Linked DNA regions of Kluyveromyces lactis. The protein of the gene in region 2 purifies or fractionates together with the protein of the main gene of each other region. This does not show direct contact. Links are inferred from orthologs where the notes say so. Each region holds a gene or a part of one and is shown on either strand. Other genes may lie near its edges.

Evidence for each region. Proteins that work in one complex are often made in the same cells at the same time.
Region 1: the proteins of KAR9 (region 2) and BIK1 purify together in Saccharomyces cerevisiae (affinity purification with mass spectrometry; 3 studies listed by BioGRID, with this or other methods). This does not show direct contact. The link is inferred for Kluyveromyces lactis from reciprocal best matches to the Saccharomyces cerevisiae genes KAR9 and BIK1.

Annotation. Positions count from the first base shown.
Region 1 is NC_006039.1:110,985-114,031, forward strand, and holds BIK1 (Bik1p), read right to left. Parts: upstream 1,782-3,047; coding exon 561-1,781; downstream 1-560. Other genes in the region: HIS4 (trifunctional histidinol dehydrogenase/phosphoribosyl-AMP cyclohydrolase/phosphoribosyl-ATP diphosphatase), read right to left, coding at 1-199; KLLA0_C01496g (uncharacterized protein), read right to left, coding at 2,549-3,047. UniProt on the Saccharomyces cerevisiae protein: Required for nuclear fusion, chromosome disjunction, and nuclear segregation during mitosis. Probably required for the formation or stabilization of microtubules during mitosis and for spindle pole body fusion during conjugation.
Region 2 is NC_006040.1:67,207-70,969, reverse strand, and holds KAR9 (Kar9p), read left to right. Parts: upstream 1-1,519; coding exon 1,520-3,226; downstream 3,227-3,763. Other genes in the region: ATP-binding cassette permease MDL2, read left to right, coding at 1-1,131; KLLA0_D00704g (uncharacterized protein), read right to left, coding at 3,416-3,763. UniProt on the Saccharomyces cerevisiae protein: Involved in karyogamy. Component of a cortical adaptor complex that orients cytoplasmic microtubules. It may be involved in anchoring cytoplasmic microtubules to the cell cortex.

The sequences.
Region 1 (3,047 bases), on a different chromosome or scaffold from region 2:
GAACAATCAGATCATCATCCTCAAATTTTGCGTCTTTCAATAGAACAGAAATATTTTGACCATGACTATTCTGAACAAATTCCAAAATATCATCTTTAGTCATATCCTTCCCATCAAGTACTAATTGACTGGATAAGTAAAGGTAAGTCTTTTCTTTCAACGCATTGACAGCATTGAACACAGGTACAACAGGCAACATTTCTGGTGCTTTATGACTTCTTGTCTTAGGTGGACAGTCCTGAATGTAACGAAATTTGATAAAGCATGACGACTAACTTATTTTTTTTTCATATTTCATATTTTCATTTTTATATACCAGGAGGCTTGATTTTTGCAGTGGATTGTGAAAATATGATTGAACGCATATGCACTGAATTACATGAGTCATATGATGAAAAAAACACAGGAAAGCCAATGAAAACTCGAAGAAGAAGTCCGGATGCGATTGATGGACTGTAGGTAATTCATTATAAGATGATTCATTATATGATGATGCGCTAAGTATGCTATATATATGATGCAAGTACAACAATGGATATTAAAAGGGACGAATTTTGACTCTAAAAGAATTTGTCGTCGTATGGGCAATCTACTGATTCATGACCGTCTTTTTCGCAAAGAGCACACCACAACGAGCGCCCTGCAGCTGCATTCACTAAAGTTGACTTTACTTCGGCACCTGGATTGTATAACGGCAAGGTTTCAATGTTACTGTCCACAATAAGTGTATTTTCTTCCTGTTTTTTGGATAATTCTTCGACTCGGGATTCGAGCTCCCCAATTTTTTTCCTTGCATCGTCTAATTCCTTGTTGAGAGTATACTCTTTTGTCTCTGTATCATGGGATTTCTGTTGATACTCTGTCATCTCAGTAGTCAAATTTTTATATTCTTTTGATAACGACTGGTTACGGAATTGCAGTTGCTCCTTCTCTTTCTCCCATTGGACCCTATGCAATTCAGCTTGAGTCTTGTGTTGCTGTAGTTCTAGTATCTGTTCCCTTAAATCGTTAATTAAAAGGGCATCACTGTTCGGTTCATCTTGCATAACATAATCATTTTCAAGGGAATTTTTCTTTTCCTTCTGCATAATCTCGGCTAATATGGCAGCATTCCGGTTTATCTCAGATTGGAGCTCGTCTATCACAGTCAAAAGCTGATCATGTTCACTTTCATAAAACTGCTTTTGGCGCTGATGGGACGTTCTTTCATGGTCGAGTTGGTTTTGAAGTAGAACTTTCTCCTTTTCTGTGGTATCCAACTTAGTCTCATATTCATCAATTGCAGCTTGGATCTCCTCGAATACAATTCGTTGATCCTCTACTAGTCTTTTGTATTGAACTAGCTCTGTTTGTAACATTTTTAAGTCCGAGGAAGTAGTTTGCATCGGATCGTCATTCGGTTGAATGACATTTGAAATACTAGTTCGCGACTTGATTTCAGGAAAACTGTTTTGAAGAGGTTCATGATACCCTAAAAAATTTGCGTTAATCCTTACGGGAGTAGGTGATGCAGGTGGTATGGTCATATTTGCCTCAGGGTTAGAAGGTATTGGGATCAAGTTGGCGATCTTTTCCCATTGGATAAAAAGTCCACTTTGAGGGAAAGAAGTCTCAAAATACCGTCTGCCTCTGAAAGTTCCATCGTTTTTTCCATTGCCAGCAAACAAATTGATACCAACAAATGTTCCTTTCTTTGTTTCTACTGAGCCAATGTACCGTATTTGCCCTCTACCTATGTTAGGAACTTCAATTACCAGTCCTATACAGTCTTGATTATCCATCACTAGAAATAGACCGTTGGGATGTGAAACGAAGGTGTTTTGGGCATACGTTTTAAAAATTTACCAAACCAAAGAAAAATCAGGAAAGGCTGAGAAAATACTGGTAATTAAGGTATTTGGAAACGTTACCTCAGGTCTGTTACTATCGTATCTCCATAGATTAAGGATTTTAGTTTTTTGCCTATTGACTGTAAATATTGTTATTATGACAAAAGGTAAATAGAACAGAAAACTCCTTCACGTGAATCTTGACTTCCAAACAAGAAATGAAAAAGCAAGGCGAACTTCATGCGATGATATTCTGCTGAACAGCAATAGAACTAGCCGCTTCTGGTTCCTAAAGTAGTTATTCGTAATTGTATTCATAAATGATGTTCACTATTTAACTTTCCGGACGTTAGCTACAATACAGTAATTATATCATTAAAGAAAATTGGTAAACTGGTAAAACTAGAACAAGGTAAAAGGTAATAAAGAAGTGATTAGTGATGGCTTTTTTGTTAGGTTTCATTAGGGTGTTTCTTTTGAACACTGGTATATTCTAAGTGCCTCCAGGGCCATGAGTAAATCCAGAAGGATGGTTGCAATGAGTACGATAGAATAGCTGTTTTTTCTTACTTGGTGCAAAGACCAATGTGAAAACATACATTCAACGAAGAAGGTTGGAGCTGTTGGGTTTATTCAATTCTATCGAGGTGTGTTTAATATGGCCATCATAAAAAGAGCTATCGATCAGATCTTGTTATCCAAGTTTTGGACAGGGTTTCCTAATTGCTCTCCAATAACGGCTTGACGTTTTGCTTATACAACACATAAGCGTCATTGCCACCAACAACCTTAACATTACCGGCTGGAGAGTATTCACAGATCAAGTAGACGGATCCGGAAGAACATTTTGTTACAGAACATCCGACGTCAGTACTAGCAGCCCAAACCAATTGAGTGAAGTGACCAACATCATGACCGTTATGAGAGATACCAGTGACATTGTTGTAGTCATAGTAGTTGATTTCATCGTACCACAAGCCAACTAAGGCAGCTGGATCGGAGTTAGTACCAGCAGCCAAGTTTTCACCATACGGACCACCAGAGTGTTGTAGCTTATAGTTACATGGATCGTTGTCGCTACCGAACAATGTTTGAGTGTAATCGTAAGCATATGCGGCTAATTCCTCATTCCAAACTAATGGATTGGTGGATTGGTGTCTAGCTCTGTATTCATTATGGGCGTTCAAAACACTCTCGCGATCGGCATCAGAAATAGCC
Region 2 (3,763 bases):
ACTGCGTTCATGCTCTATACTGAATACACTGGAAGTGCAGTATTTGGTCTTTCCACCTTTTACTCGGAATTGATGAAGGGTGCTGGTGCAGCTACGAGATTGTTTGAATTGCTTGATTACAAACCTACTATTAAATCAACTACCGGGAAGGCGTTTAAACCGTTAAATGGTAAAGTTGAGTTTCAGCATGTTTCTTTCAGTTACCCAACAAGAAAAACAAATCAAATCTTTAAGGATCTCAACTTTACAATAGAGCCAGGTTCTAATGTATGTATTGTAGGTCCATCAGGAAGAGGGAAATCTACAATTGCCTCGTTATTGTTGAGGTACTACAATCCAACATCCGGTAAAATCTTGGTTGATGGCCAAGATATTACAAAATTAAGTTCGAAATCCCTTAGAAGACAACTTGGTGTGGTACAACAAGAGCCAATATTAATGTCTGGTACTATAAGAGAGAATATTACATATGGTGTCTCTAGGCAACCTTCAATGGAAGAAATCAGATCTGTAGCAAAAAAGTGCTTCTGTCATGCTTTCATATCTAAATTCCCTAATGGTTACGAAACTATCATTGGGCCTCGTGGTGCTTTGCTCAGTGGAGGACAGAAACAACGTATTGCTATCGCTAGAGCGTTATTAAATAAACCTAAAATTTTGATTCTCGACGAAGCTACATCTGCCCTAGACGTTGAAAGTGAGGGCGCTATCAACTACACTTTGGGGAGGTTAATGAAGAGCAAAGAATTAACTATTATCAGCATTGCTCATAGATTGAGCACAATCAGAAGATCCGAGAATGTTATTGTACTTGGCATCGATGGTTCAGTTGTGGAAATGGGTAAGTTCAAAGATCTTTACGCCAACCATGATAGTGCTTTACACAAATTATTGACAGAACCTTCAGAACAGCAGCATTCCCAGCACCAACAATACGCTCCACCTGCCATAACTCAAGAATCTGAGCCACAAACAGAAGAAAATGGCAAAGATGATTCTGGTGAAGATCAAAATTCTGACCACGAAGAAAACTCACAAGATCAGAACGAGAAGAGACTGCAAGAAGAAGTTATACATCAAGTTTTAGAAGATATCAGTCACGATCAAAAAACTTCAACGCTCAGGCCATGAGTAATTGAAGAAATTTCCCACCTTCCTTTCTTACACTGCATAGGTATCTTACAAGTGCACCAGAGTTGGTACTATGTATTATTAACATATAAATATACACATAAACAACATACAAGGTACCAATCAAACAAATATATTAATATTCATATAATTTCAGCTCTCCATGGAAGTCATCTAAGCATTAATCTTTTGATGTTGCAAGCTTCCTGACCTCTACGTGCCTTATCTACCAAGCAACTTTTCCCGTTACTTCAAATGAAATCATCAATAATTAAGATTAGTTAAAATGTAAACAAAGGCATGGGGTTACGAAACGGAAAAACAGTAGGCGATAGAGAAGCAGAGATCCATTGTCCACACTAGGTGTGCTTCAGCAAGCTTCTATACTATGGCAGAGGAGCTGAAAGGATTTCCTCATGAGAGACTATCTATCTCATTGAGGAGTAATTCACAGCAATATCAAGATATTCTTTTGTTTTTTGATGATTATCAGTTTGATTTGGATAGCACCAACCAGCACTTGTGTAGTCTGGCAGAATTACTGTTAAAGTCTCATACACTGTTGGCAGAGCTGTTTTCTGATGATGTGAGCGTTTCTCAACTCTTACCGTATTTTGATTGGATTCAAGAGGGAAGATCTGAATTTTATCAGCTCTTCAACGGGATAAAGACCATCGAAAAGGTGTTGCTGCATCTGATGGAAATCATCGAAGAGGAATTTGGGTGTAATGAAGATGAACTATTCCAGAAGGAGTTGACTGCACTTTTTGATTTATTAGAGGAGATATCAGATACATTAGTGTCCATAAAACCAATCATCTCATCATTAAAAAACCTGTTCGACACCGCCATAGAGTTCAACGAAATATTCAAAGATCATATGAACAGTCTAGATGAAGAGATAGAAAACAATTTGTCTAAATGCATTGAACTTCAAGAGCAAAACTTTGAATCTCCTGTAAGACATAATAAACCTACTTTCACTTTGGATCAATTGATTAAAACTTTGTCTTCAACAAATTCTCCTACCAAAGGACTTCAGATCCCTGCCTTTTCTCCTTCAGAGCAAAAGATTCATGAAAAGCTTACACAGTTGGAAGATTCTTCGGCACCTATAGATTTGTCACTAAAACATGTCCTTTCAGAAAGATTAGATAACTTCGAGACCCGTGATGTTGTCAATTTGGAATATCTCATGCGATTGCTGCGAAAGAAATACCAATATATATTGGATAAGTATGAACTACTACAAGTTGAACTCAGAGACCTAAAGCAAGCAATTGTTGATGAGAAATGGGTTCTCATATTTACAACTTTGAATGACGAGCTACGGATTATGCTGAAAGATGTGGAGAAACTGCTGCTGAAGGTAGGCAACCCTGATCTTTCGGAGCAGCTGAAAACAAAACTGCATGATCAATTGAGAAGCAAATCGTACACTATTGATAAGACCTTCGGTATAATATACAATGCTCTTGAAAGCTCGATATTGAATGAATCAATTGCAACCGTTACCAACGAACATGCGGAAAAGTGGCTACAATTAAATACAAAATTTGAACACTTACTGCCGGAACACCAAAATGAAAATGATCCAAATAAAACTATCACACAGCTTTCCAATGACATCTCCGAGCTTCGGCTCAACGATGCACCATCTGAGAAGCCAGGTTCAAACAGGTCTAGTATTGGGGCGATATTATTTAAGAAAATGAATATCAAACCTGTCTTGGTAAGAGAAGGAGATGAAAATGATTCAAACAGCGATAATGTGAAATGTGACCGCCACAGATATTCCAATCCATTTTTTGATCCTTGCCAAGCTACTAAATTAAGTCCAAAAAAGGTACTTAACTTTAACAAAGTACCTGCTCTTTCTTTTGAACAACAACTGTCCATTTTGGGAACACTTGAATCCCGAGCATATGATATTAACAGATTGAAACAGTACGGTAAACTCCCGACACGCATCCCCAGACTTCCTTTCCAGAGACAGAAAATCATTCCACATCGTACTATTTTATTCAATTTCGATGCCAACTGGGTAAAAAAGGATAATCACCAACTGAAATTTCCCGTATCCTATGTATCTTAGTGCCTTCCGGACTAGCTCCAGATAGTCCATTCCATTGTAACACTATAAATACAATAATCAGGATAAACTAACTTTGTTAATAGGTAATTATCTAGCTTACATAATAAACCATACAAAAGTAGCTACTGACAAAATGCCTGACGTAATTAACAGGAATTATTTCACTCCATTAAAAATACTAAAGGGAATTCAGTTAAGGCTATTCAATACTTGAACAGTTCTCTTTGCGGTTGAACTAGCCGATGCTGGATTGACACCCGTAACTAACCTACCATCAGCAATCGAAAAATCATCCCATGGACCAATTGGGGCCATGTACTTTGCATGATACTTCTTAGCGATATCTTCCACAGTATCTAACTTCTTTTGTTTTAGTATATCGGCAACACCTAGGATTTCTTCACCAATATCGGTAAAACCAGTAATAACTTTACCTTGAATCAACGGTTTACCAGTATCTTTATCAGTCAAACCATCAAAGATTGCCGGACCATGGCAAACAGCAGCCACAACACCATTATTAGCATATATATCAGA